Drosophila melanogaster: one gene and its partners. The protein of the gene in region 3 interacts with the protein of the main gene of each other region in a pairwise test. Each region holds a gene or a part of one and is shown on either strand. Other genes may lie near its edges.

The links.
Region 1: the proteins of CG32847 (region 3) and CG42597 interact in a two-hybrid assay, tested with the Drosophila melanogaster proteins (one large-scale study listed by BioGRID).
Region 2: the proteins of CG32847 (region 3) and CG32987 interact in a two-hybrid assay, tested with the Drosophila melanogaster proteins (one large-scale study listed by BioGRID).

Annotation. Positions count from the first base shown.
Region 1 is NT_033779.5:22,063,683-22,068,239, reverse strand, and holds CG42597 (uncharacterized protein), read left to right. Parts: upstream 1-2,896; 5' UTR 2,897-2,979; intron 2,980-3,043; 5' UTR 3,044-3,046; coding exon 3,047-3,547; 3' UTR 3,548-3,636; downstream 3,637-4,557.
Region 2 is NT_033779.5:8,860,949-8,865,768, reverse strand, and holds CG32987 (uncharacterized protein), read right to left. Parts: upstream 1,959-4,820; 5' UTR 1,915-1,958; coding exon 1,141-1,914; 3' UTR 922-1,140; downstream 1-921. Other genes in the region: CG32988 (uncharacterized protein), read right to left, coding at 98-865; CG32986 (uncharacterized protein), read right to left, coding at 2,090-2,962.
Region 3 is NT_037436.4:15,119,433-15,123,557, forward strand, and holds CG32847 (uncharacterized protein), read left to right. Parts: upstream 1-2,139; 5' UTR 2,140-2,189; coding exon 2,190-2,684; 3' UTR 2,685-2,869; downstream 2,870-4,125. Other genes in the region: Cep135 (centrosomal protein 135kDa), read left to right, coding at 1-153, 216-331; CG16959 (uncharacterized protein), read right to left, coding at 781-1,517, 1,632-1,975, 3,192-3,622.

The DNA.
Region 1 (4,557 bases), on a different chromosome or scaffold from region 3:
AGTCTACTTCCTCTACTATCAGATACCCTTTACTCAGCTAGTTAAAATACGTAAACGTGAAATTTTGTGGGCGTGGCATAAAGTTTTATTTTTTGCAAATTGATATTAATTATACCCGTTAGTCGTAGAGTAAAAGGGTATACTAGATTCGTTGAAAAGTATGTAACAGGCAGAATGATGCGTTTCCGACCATATGAAGTATATATATTCTTGATCAGGATCAATAGCCGAGTCGATCTAGCCATGTCCGTCTGTCCGTCTGTTGGTATGAACGTCGAGATCTCAGGATTTATAAAAACGAGAAGGTTGGGATTCAACAACAGATTCTAGAGACAAAGACGCAGTGCAAGTTTGTTGACTCATGTTGCCACTTAACTGTAACCGCACAAAACTGCCACGCCCACACTTTTTCTATCGTTTTGCAAAAAAAAAATATATATTTAAATAATAAATAAACCGTCCAAAACTGCCGGGCCCATATTTTTGAATTTTTTTTGGATATTTTTTCATAATTTAATTAGTCTTCTTAATTTCTATCGATTTGCCAAAAAACTTTTTTCCACTCCAACTTTAGCGCCTTAAATTCGGCAAAATTATTCGATATTTGTTCATAATTTTATAAGTTGCTTAAATTTCCATCGATTTGTCAAAAAACATTTTCCACGTATAATCTAACGCCCTAAAGCCGCCAAACCGGTCACGCCCACACTTTTGAACAATTTTTAATGTGTTCTCATTTTATTCCCCAATATCTATCAATATCCCAGAAAAATTATGAAATTTCGCGTTTGTATTCACACTAGCTGAGTAATGGGTATCTGATGGTCGGGGAAGTCGACTATAGCATTCTATCTTCTTTTTTGCATATTGTTCCAAAAAAGTATTAAAATATCTCGTTCATACTTTTAGCTGAGTACCGGGTATCGATATACCAAAAACATATTGGGCACACCCACTCTAACGTCACACCCACTCGGCGTCCACCATAACGCCTACAATCCACAGAAAAGCCGCAGCGGCCACAATTTTCGAAAATGTTATAAGTTTATTATTTTTTTATGTTTCTTGGTTAAAATTTGGAAGCGTTGTCATTAAGCGTTGGTGAAGTGCATCGATGGCGTAGATTGGTTCCCAACCACAACAAGAATTCCTTTTGTGTAATTGGCTGATTTGAAACCACGTCTATACGTGAATAACGCTTTTCGGAACCGCACCTCAAGACCAGGATCAGATTGGTACGCTTACCGTCTACCCGGTAGTCCTTACTGTCCTGATGCAGAGCAATAGTTTCGTAGATGGAGTAGACTTTTCCAACATTTAGCCGCACAAAGGATCCAATCACAGCCTCCGCGAAAATAGGTTTACCCAGTAAGTTCTTTATGTCGTTCCGTTTTAACACTGCTCGACTCAGCTGTTCCAGGTTGGATACGCGTTCATCGCTTTCAACGTTCGTTTGCGGATCGTTTTGGGCTGTATTCTCGCTCTCACTGTTAGGCGAGGAATCGCCGGAATAAGTCTCTTTGACCTCGATATTTACATCCTTACGCGTTTGTGCCTTGCAATCATCACTAGACTTCGTCTGCTCTGCACTGTCTTCGGAACATTTTCCCTTGCTCAATTTAATGGTGCGAATTGCCAATAATCGCTCAAAAGCATGTGCTGTTTTGCCACCAGACTCCAGTTTATTTGCGATCTTACGTCTTGTCCGTAAGCGCTCAACCATTTTTTTATACTTTTACTCTACGAATATCGGGTATAAAAAGTTTAATTGTAAATTCGATGAATTATTCAAAAATGCGAATCATAGGTAGGCCTCAGCAGGAATCATATTTATATGAACTTTTTTTTAATACTAAAACTACCGGATATTCAACTGGCAGTTTTTGTAATATTACAAATATGTTAAATTCTCGCAGCTGTTCAGTGTTCCTCATTCAATTTGCTTCGCTCGACATCGGCAAATATGAGTTTTGATATTGGAATTTTTGGTGGCGGCTGTTCAATAAGCACAAAAAACCGTAATAAGCTAGAATCCACGACAGGTGACTGAGTTAGCAGGAGAAAAAAAATATGCGCACACAAAAGCGAACCATTTTGTGTGGGTCTGGCGAGCAGTACGCGTATTCTTATTTGGCTAAATGACAAAACTTCATCAAAGTGAGCTTACGACTTCCTTGCTTTGATAAAAATTCCAATTTCTTTTTAGTGATGTTGGCTTTTGGCCGGACTTCCATTGGATATCTAATTGGAATTTAAAATGGCGGCACAATTAAATGGTACTGCTATATAAATAATTCTACAGCAATTGTTTGCAAGAAACACTAATTTAAGTAAAATGCAAATGATTTCCGGTATTAGGAGCACGGAGTGGAGCCAGAAGTGGTGCTCCGCATTCGAGGTGAGTGCGTTGGGGATGTATCTTCTGGATATTGCATGAGATTCGTATCCCCTCCACCTAAGTTTTCAATTGCGATTCAGTTTCGTTTCCATGTTGCAACTATAGCAACGACGACGACGTCATACGATTAACGTGAGCTGCATATTTTCGGCTAATTTTCTAATTAAAATGATATTTATGCATTTTTTAGCTGACAGAATTAAACATTCAGTGCCAAAGCCAATTTTTACAGGCAAAGTGAACAATGAAGCACGTACTAACCTCTCGCATAAAGATATTGACATTACATATTACAAAAGATAAGGGAGTAGGTATAATCCGTTTTAAAAGGTAGTGGTAAAGGTAAGGTAGACTTCATAAAAATCAATCAATTTTTTATCTGCTTTAGTCTTCCACGAGTTCAGCTGGTTTTCAACTTTGAAGTCCCTAAAGTTTTCATTTAACTTGCCAACGCAATACAGGAATTATTCTCCGACCCAGCAAGCATTTTAAATTGAAACAAACAAAACAATGTGTTTTGTTTTTTTTACCTTATTCATTCTAAATTTGTGTAACTTATACATATTTACAAGACCGCGCAGGCAAGTCACTTCTAACGTCTATATACAGGCAATACCCGATAGTTAACCAATATCCCTTTCTAAGGAAATGACCAGTCCCACGCCTGTTCTATTGGCCTTCGTTGTGCACATGGTGCTCCACACAACGCTCTTCATACATCTAGATCCGGGTATAATTGCAGACACCCCCGTCTTTGGTAGCCAGTTATTCTATTTATCAGTGATGGATCTGCTGTGCGACACAGAGGTAATACCCACGCACTGGAGTAACATTCCGCGGTGGGGAAAGTTTATCCTTGAGACCATTATCGCCATCCTTATTGGCGAAACTTTGATGGTGGGCGTATGGCTTTCCATGGAAACGCTTCTCGTCAACTTTATAAATGTTATAACCAATTGGTTGGGCCTGGGCAGCCGTACAAACACTAATTTCCAGGAGATCGGCACGATTTTATTGGGAGTTATCTTTTTAGTGATAGTGGGTGCCATTACAAATCGACCGGCCAAAGTTTGGAAAATGGCACAACAGTCTTGGAGAATCATCACACAACAAAGTCGTCCTTCGTCCAAACAGAAATCTTTTAAATAAGCAAAAGGACCCACATCGTTTTCGGTTCCTTCTATTAATTTGGGATACCATTTCTAGTTTATGTGCACTTTTTTATTAAAAGGGTGCTCAAAAAAAAAAAATTGGTTATCTCTAATTTCAAGTACCCATCTCTTTGTTCTTTTAACAGTGAAATAGTCAAATATAGTCTTTGATATCTATGCACCCCAATGCTTAATGAAGCTCGATATTCACAAAAGGATGCGATGCACCTTTGTAAATGTTAGCATACGACCTTTACTTAAGAAGAACAACAGGTTTTTCTAATGTCTCGATTCGAAGCCATAGGGCAATTAAATATGTCACGGGTGGGAGCGGAAACTTGTAAGACATTTAACTGTTTGGGCGCGCTTAAATGGAATCTGAGTGAAATAATTACCGTTGGAGAAAATGATTTCGAACAAATCATGTCTTACGGTTATTATACAAAAGGACATCCGTGATCCCTTAGGCAAGAAAATTCGAGAAACATAAGCTGCAGTTGCGCTAAAGGTGTGGGTGTAATTAGTAACATTTGTGCCACCAAACAATTAACATAGAAAGTGGCTCGAACTCTGTGAAGAACACATGTGCGATTGACTCTCTCTTGGGCCATTATGTAATAAAAAGCGCTACTTATGTTTACTTAATGTATTGTATATCCTACAACACGAAACTCAAAAAATTTGAGATAAAAGAGAAAAGTTGAGTTTTTCAAACTAGTATTTTAGACCCTTTACTCAGATAGTTGGTGTGTGATTAAGAAAGTTCAATAGTATTTTTTGACATATCTATAGAAATTGTTCGGTTTTGTGGGCGTGTCTCTGGAACCTGCTTGCTTATTTCAAATTTCTAGCTTTTCAAGTTCCTGAGATCGAGGTGTTCCAACAGACAGACGGACGGACTGAAGGACATGACCAGATCGACTCGGCTGGTAATCCTGACCAAGAAAATATATAGTTTCTATGGTCAATACATACTCTGCGTACTTCACGAATCTAATATACCCGTTT
Region 2 (4,820 bases), on a different chromosome or scaffold from region 3:
GCCAACAACATGCACTTAAAACCATTCAGTTTTTATCCAACATAGTCGCAAATACATTTCTAGGCTATTTGCACATCAGCCTCAACATATTTTTTATTCAACTATTAACTAGCTTATAGTACAGGGCAAAAACGAGCATGCAGGAGAGTAGAAAAATAAAGTGTAGGTAAATGCCATTGGCGCAATCCGCAGTCTCCCCATAAGGCACCTGCTGCAGCCTTCCACAAATGAAACGAGCCTGAAATGGAGCCATGAATGCGATCAGGATGACGAACACTATGGCAAGTGCCAGGAGATACCGCATATCATTGATGATCAGGAAGAGTATTAGCAGGACGATCATGGTGACGGTGAGCAGCAGAAAAATGCAGCAAGTACAGATAATGTTGGGTAGCAGAACCTCCGGACTTTTGGCCCCATACAAATGCAGCAGGGCCAGCAGGGATCCGGCAACCAAAATGGCAATCAAAAGGACCCAGACGCGCACTAGATGCATATAATACGCTCCGAACAGGGTGAGAAAGAACAAGGATCCCAGCACCAATCCCCAGCATAACAAGGTCAATGCTGGAGTCTGTGCGATGCAGCCGAGCACTGAGAGAATGATGAAAGCTAATATCAGCCAAACGAACGGCGGCACTGGAATTGCCTTGTAGACCCTCACAGCGAGTGCCGACAGTATGATCCACGAAATGGAAGACAGCAGGCACAGCACTACGGAGGATAGGTACACCCGGAAGATGAAGGCCCGCAACTCCCGCTCGTTGATGACTAAGACCTCCGGTCCCTCCGCAGGAACTGGCTCGCCACCAGGTCTTCCGGTTCTAAGGCCATAACGACCCCAACCCCGATTGCGATTATTCATGTGTTAATCAATTATTTTAGGTCAATATAATGTAATTTTGAAGAAAAAAGCAAAGTAAGTGATTCATTTTCTCTTATATTGAGACTAGGACTTTTCATAATACTCTGGCTTTATTCTAATTGCCTTGCAATGAGAATATATTTATATTTTCTGTACCGCCTAGGCTACACCGCACTAAGTAATTAGACTGGATGACAGTATCCTTTGGTCTGGAACACCATAGTAACTTGCCAGATCGCTAATCAGTTTCGATCACACAGTGACAGCTATTTCTCTCAATCAAAATCATTTTCGAGTGAAATTTTCGGAGCTTCAGATGTTTGTCTGATGGCCTCCTTTCTCTCGTCGACCAGGATGAAGTAGCACACGCAGAAGAAGAACATCATTGAATGCAAGTATAAAGTCAGGGTGCAGACCATGAGGTGCTCTTCGGGAACCACTTCCACGACGTTCAGACGGCCATGGTTGAACTGCGCCTGAATGGGGATCGCTATGATCAGCATCAGGAACAGAATGCTGACGAAGGTGTCGAGCAGCTCAACACTCCCGGTGCAGAGCTGGACGATTCCCACAATGGTCAAGACCAACAGCAGTGCCATCATCAGCAGCGTGGAGCAAACACCGCCGGGCAGGAACTCCTGCGGGCACATGGCCCCAGAGAAGTTGAGTAACATAATGATCAGGGCCACGCCGATCATCACGAAACTGATAATGAGCGGGCTCAAGTCGTGGATGAAATGGCAGCCAAACAAGGTGGTACACACAACCACCAGACCTGTCATGAACCACTTACAGGGAGAGTAGTAGGATATTCTCGGGATACAATGCATGCATATCATCACCAGAAAAATTATTAGAGCCAGGACGTAGCAGGGAAACGGAAGGTACCTCTGCAGGTGAATATGGGTCAGCATGAGCAGAATCCATGCGCCCACCGTAATTCCGATAAGGATCAGGCCAATGTTATAGATGCTGCGGATGAACTGGGTCATTGGGTCCAGCTGCTCGATCGTCGGCCGGATGTTGTCCTGGTGGTAAATGTTGTCCATCCCGTTAAAAATCCTTATGGACCGAGTGTTAAGACTAGGTCTGGCCTGCACCCTGACACTTACCTCCTGGCAAAGCTGCTCACCTTCTATATCTTTTATTTACAAATTGGTATCTTTTCTCATTAAAGCCTTCTTTTTATTTTACACGGACACGTTAAATTAACTCCTATAACTCTCACCATTTGGGAGCCCAGATGACAAAGTAAAAGGCCGCAAAGAACAACAGAAAGTGCAGATAGATGTTGACGGCGCAAATAACGAATTCGTAATCGGGCAGCTGGAATCGCCTGGAATGAACCACCTGAGCATGGTAAACGGATGCGGGTATTAGCAAAGTGGCCAATAACGTGAAGTACACCAACTGGTAGATCCAATTGTCTGTGAAGATATACATGGTCATCACAAAGATTGAGGACATCACGAAAATGACGAGCAGGAGGAACATGGTCCTCTCTCCGGGGAGGATGATCTTGGGTATCCATGCGCCAGCGAAATAGCATATCACAGTCATGGCGGAGGCCACCAGAAGGGCAATGCACACGCGGGAAAGGTTCCGCTCCAGGAGAAGCAGAATAACGCCCAAACCTGCCAGACTTACAAACAACCCGGCCATGATGAAACTATACCAATAAAAACTCCGCAACTTGGTCAAAATACAGAAGACAAAGAGAAACATTAGGGACACCATTGCACTTATGAATCCTGCCATTATAAGATCTGCCTCCGGAGGAATTACCTTGGACAGGATTATGGCAAGGATCGCAGTTGTAGTCGAAAACAATCCAGCCATCATGTAGCAGCGCCGCACAAATATTATTTTCGACGAGTCGCCATTTCCGTTGTCCAGTCCTCTGGAGCCTTCGCCTTCCACAACCGAACGTCGTGCCCTTAATCTACGGGGTGCTAAGCGAAGCTGGTGTATCGAAGGATGCTCGTATCGAACCAAAGTTCCAGGAGCCTGCTCTTGCTGCTGTGGCAAAGGAAAGTTGAGAAGCTGGAGGGCTGGTGGATAGATGACCCAGTCATTTCTTAAACTGCCTCCTAACATTGGGAGCACTTAGAGGGCAACCACTTAAAATTTTGACAAAATATTTATGGCACACCCTGATTGGGTACGAAGACATCCCTAAAAACATAAACAATACTAATACTACTAAAAATTACTAATAGCCAAAATAATACATAGCCTGTAAATCTGATTTAAGAACTGGAAATATTTATATACACCGTATATATATAACAATTATCCTAAGATTAAGATTCGCGGAAGAGATAATTACGGTGACTTACCGAATGCGATGGCATGCATAAATATTTAACATTTTATAAATCTAAGCAGTATTATTCCGTTCGATCAGGGCGGAAAACTCAGCGAGGCATGCGGAATTCCAAGGGGACTACAAAGCCTGCAAGGAAAATGCTAAGTAGCTCCGATCAAAGCTAACAAAACAGCCACAAAGGATGCTTACTCCTTTCCCCTGCCTGCATTGTTTGTTGTTGTTTTGCTGATCGCTTGAGTGACACGCAAAGCAAAGGATACAAGGATACACTGGAGTAGAAAGGCGATCCCGAGATGTGTTTACTGCCGCATCTGCGGCCTCGATCACAATCACTTTCACAGACGGTTGATGCTTGATGGTTGACGGTTGGACGGCATTGTTCCGGCTATGACTCAATCTCAATCAGCTGGCTACGCTTATCCTTGATCCCCGCTAAAGACATGCAAATGCCAAGGCAGCAGGCGATCGGGGAGAATGTCAGTTATCTGGCAGCTGCAGCTCAATGCAATAGATACGCTTGCAGTCGAAGGAGTATAACCCTTGAGTTGCCAATCAAGTCGTTAGCTCGCCTGCTCCTCATGATTGGATTATTGAGTTGGTAAAAAGTGAATACCTTTCGGAAATTGAAAATCAAGTAGCGGATGTCAGTATTAGGATTAGATTCTATTTTCTCTGCAAATTTATAAAACATTTTTAAAGCTAAAAAGAGCAACTAATTTAAAATAACTCATACGACTTGTTTATTGATCTTTCTCTTGCAGATTTCGGCCTTGGGCCACATACATATATATGGACTATTTACTATTCTACAATGGCCCCTTCAGGGCAGGTCAATGTACCATGGTATAACATTTTCGGCTTATATTTTCCACCCACACAACGCTGACAACGATGAAAGGGCCAACGACGAGAGGTCGGGAGGAAAGTGAAAGCGTTGGCAAGTGCTTGACAACAACGACATGCGAGCGTATGCAGTGGACCAGGCCATTACAATCCACATCACCATCCTAACCCCACCTCAGACAGCCCCGGACAAACTAACGGCATTTCCCCCGTCGACTTTTCCCGGCCCTAACTTCATTTGGGATTTTGCATGCGAACACGAAAATGTTCGGGAGCCGCAAAAAGCACAAGCCAAAAAGCTTACAGAAGCGTAACGAACGAGAACCGCCCGGAGATTTGGAGGAGGAAAAGGCAGGGCGGGGCAGGGCAGCGCGGAACAGGGCTGGGAAGCGGCCACCGTCATCCGTGGGTCAGTGGAGAAGACAGGTTGTCTCATTCTACGTGCTCGGTTCACGATTTATAATATTCTATTAGTTCCACGACCCGAGCTCGAGCTCAAACCCGATCCCGAGTTTGGGCCCAGCCCCGGCTGTCTCTGACTGACTGTTGTGTGTGGCAGCGCAGTTAGCGCAGATAATACATCCGTTTCCGGTTAAGCCCATATTTTTGTGTCATTTAGTTGGTGGGGCGACGGGGGACGGTGGACGGAGGGCGGGGCAGTGCGGCAAGTGCCGAGACCGCTTGTGTGGGAGTGGAACAGACAACCACAGATGCTGGCTACACTGGGCGAATATTTGATTTTTTCGATTATAGATGTCCTAGGTGTACACTAGTAATCAAATT
Region 3 (4,125 bases):
GCCGAGCGTCAACGACAGTCGGCGGATGTTCGGGCCAGCACCTTGGACTCCAGTCGGGAATCCAATCGCAGCGAGGTTACCCAACTCCGCATGGACTTAGGAGCTCTGCGGCAGACCTATATATCGTTAGAACACGAGAAGGATACGCTTCTGGTAACTTCATTTAATAATATATTTTCTAGAGATATTAACAATATTGTTATTTGCTTCACTAGCATCAATTGGATACCAAAACTGAGCGGGTATACAAACTGGAGTATGAGCTAAAGGATTGCAAAGAAAAACGGAATGCCCTAGAGCAGAATGTGAAGGACCTGGAGGATCAATTGCGGTAAGTGTGAGAATTGTTTAGTTTGTGCTTCAGAACCCGATACCAAAGAGTTTCAGAATAATTGACCTATTTACAACTCAATTTTTCTGCTAAAATGAAAAATATGTTATATTTCATTTCTAGACTCTATATTGTTAGTCTTTCAAATTCTTTTATTTCCCTTATCGTGATTTTCCTTAAATACAACTCGTACATTAGTCGATGTAATACATTAATGGCACTGTCTCATCCTATCGAACACGTTAACCGAATATTTCTAAAAACCACCTAAAAGAGAACAAAATGGTTAATTGAATAACAAATGATCGCATCGATCAATAAACACTGAGCATGCAAACACAAAAACAAAGGGTAATGGAGGTAATATAGGGTAAATTAGGTGGGCATGCGGTGAAAGAAGAATAAAAGTCATCACAACCGGACAGAAAATAGCTTGAAGATTGGGGATTTTAGGTGGTCCCACCAAGGTGCAGATCATTGAGAAACTTCGAGTTGAGTCGCTCGTTGGTTAAATACCTCGCCAGGCTGACACTTGGAGCGCTGCAGTTGCTCATGCCGCGTTGATCCGACTCCGAGGGCGTATAACCCGGTCGGCAGACGCACTTGGCCCGACTGGCGTGGACCAAAATTGAGGTGCCATTCGTGGTTTGCGATTTCAGTGGCTCTAGCCACTGACCCGCGCCGCAGGGTCCTCGGCTATACAGCTTGTGGCACTGCCCATTGATCTCCACCATTCCGGGCGTGGACTCGCATATATTCTGTTCCTTATCCGCTCCATCTCCCGTGCACTGCTGATCCAGATTGGTGAGGACACCGGAACAACCGCACATTCCATTGTAGGAGATGCCATCGATGGATGGCCTGGCGGTGAAGTCGAAGATCACCACCTGATGTAGGGCACACGGGCCTTGAGATCCAATCCTGTAGCAAGAATCTTCCGCTGGGAAGTACAGGCGATTCTTGCCACAGAAGTTGCGCACACAGCTGGTTCCGTTGACCAGGAACTCATTGGGTCCACAGGGACCCCTTGTGTACAGGCGATAGCAGATGCCATCGCTCCAGGGCACATAGCCCTCCTTGCACTGGCACTGGGCACGAGGCAAAAGCTGCAGGGTGCTGCCCGTTGTCTCCTGGACCTCGTCGGGTATGCGAAAGATGTGACCAGGTGGACAGGGGCCAGGAGTGTCTGAAAAATAGGAGAACATTAAATACGATATAGGAGAAAATTATGTTGAGATAGAATTTCAACATTTCCAAGGCGGTAATTGCAAATTAACGGGCTATGTAATCCCAATCCTACCCAGCTCATAGCACATTTGATGCGGAGCATGATAGTGCGGCAAGTGCCGCTGGCAGTCGCATCGACCGCCGGGCAAGAAGATGTGACCCGGCGTCGAGCAGGGTCCTTTGGTGTAGTGCTCATAGCAAGACTCCTCTGCCGGATAGTAGAACGAGGCCAAGTCGCCCACATCCTCGCAACGGCACTCGGCCAGTCCCTCCTCGTTGCGAACGAGGAGTTTACCCCGGCTGCATGGACCCTTTGCATGCCTCGCATAGCACTTGTTGTCCCTCGGCCAGAAGAGCATGTCCTCCGGGCAATGCAGCGGTCGCTTGCACGTACCCCAACGGTTGCCGGTTGCGGTTCTGGAAAGGATTTGCCTATAGTTTAGTTAACTTTTAAACATTTAATTGATATATACGGCACACATCATCCTATATCAATGATCGCCTTGAAGTGAGAAAGTCTGATAGATAATTGTTGATATCACATGAACTGTTAAGATTACTTCATTTTATTTTGAGAAGACATTAGACTTAAACAAAATTACCTGCGCTAGAAACACACACATCGGAAACAATGTCGGCTGATACTTTCGTAATGGACACCAAGGATGAATCGTTCTACGAGTGTAACATATGTCTAGACACCGCCCAGAATGCCGTGGTCAGCATGTGTGGCCATTTGTTTTGCTGGCCATGTCTGTACCAATGGATATTGACGAAACCCGATCACACAGTGTGTCCCGTTTGCAAGTCGGGCGTGGATAGGAGCAAAGTAATACCGGTGTACGCACGAAATGATAAAAGGCAGGAGGATCCGCGGGATAAAACACCGCCGCGTCCAACTGGAATTTGGTCGGATTACGCAAATGATCTCGAGTTGGGACTATTTTCGTACTTGCTTTTTGGTTTATTCTTTCCATATGGTGCCCTATCATCTTATCTGGATATGGACGAGCCACTCAATCCTGCTGCTGATCACGGCATAAGGGATGGGCAGAACGAAACACTCCTTTCTAAGTTCTTTCTCTACGTGGCCATTATGCTCATTATTTATATGATTGTAATTTAGCAAGAATAGGAATAAGATCAAAATAAACCATGATGGTGCAAATGAATCAGTATAACCGGGAAGATGTCGTCCTTTACAAATTATGTTCAGTGAAGTTTTCGGATAATTAGTCATTAATCTTTTTAGTATTGTGTAGCATTATGTAAAACAAATGTAATGAAAAGTAAATATTCAAATGCACTAGGAAACAAAACTGCATTTCATGTTTTAAACACGACAGGTTGTGTCGTAAAAGTAAAAACTGTATGTGAATGTACATACATAGGTTCTTGATGAACTTTCGTTATGCATAAAAACGAGATATCAAAGTAGAATGCTTCCGTTATTGCTTAAGTGCACCAGAACTTTCTCTTAACTCTTGATTAATGTTGAAACCCGAGTTTCGCAATCGAAATCAAAAGTTTCATACGACTAGAGAACAACCTGTAAACCTTCAGTGAAGTGAAAATGCGAACATGGCAGTTGCTTAATTCAAATAGTTTGAGCTAAGAACCGAACTCAACTCACCTCTTGACCTGATCCGGCACGGGTTGGAAGTACTCCTCGGGTTGGCAGGGTCCCCGTTCGTATAGCTTGTAGCACACATTATCGTGAAGCGGACTGAGTGCAGTTCCCGGAGGGCAGCGGCACTCGGCTGCAGGTGCATCCTTACGCTTGGCACTCACTGCGGTGGGACTGAGCTCCATGGTGGCCGGACATGGATAGCCGAGGGTGAAGATCTTGAAGCACTTCTTCAGAGGTGCCCAGTACAGCAGCTGCCAGCCACCGGACATGCTGGCGCACGGATTCTGTGCGGGATCACTCCACGGAGGCGGCACTATTCCGGCTGCCACCTGCTGCGGATTCTGGCCGGTGGTCAGTAGGAGGAGCAGGCAGGTGAGGATGGAGCTGCCCGCCTGCAGAGCAGCCCAGCAGATGAGCACTTTGCGACGCCTCATGGTGAATCTGAAAATCGAAAGTGTTTGATAAGTAAACCTATCCACACATCTAATCAAGAAATAATTACAATGGAGTTTCAGAAAGCTACATTTTATAGGATTTCTAGGATGCTAAACACCATATATCAGAATTCAAAGAGCTTTATGAAAGTGTCAACAAATCATAATATCGTATTGTGCTGGACCATTATTAATCGATTTGTATAATCAATAGGTTTCGGCATTTTTGAGGTTCATTTATAACGAATCGTTTGCGTGAAAATTAACCCTTGACGTTTCGTACTGAAATGGCAAATAACTTGAATTTAAGTCATTAAATTAAATTAAATTCGAGCTAGAGTAGACTTCCCCCTGCTCTTTTCAAGAAATCGGGGGTGGAAGCTACCATTAAACCTGATGATGGATGACTTTTCCATTGTGTCCGCTGCTGTTTAAAAATCAATTCATCGCTGCACCGGCGGAGAGTTTTAAAGCGGGTCCAATTCGAATTAGCCAACCCTTTG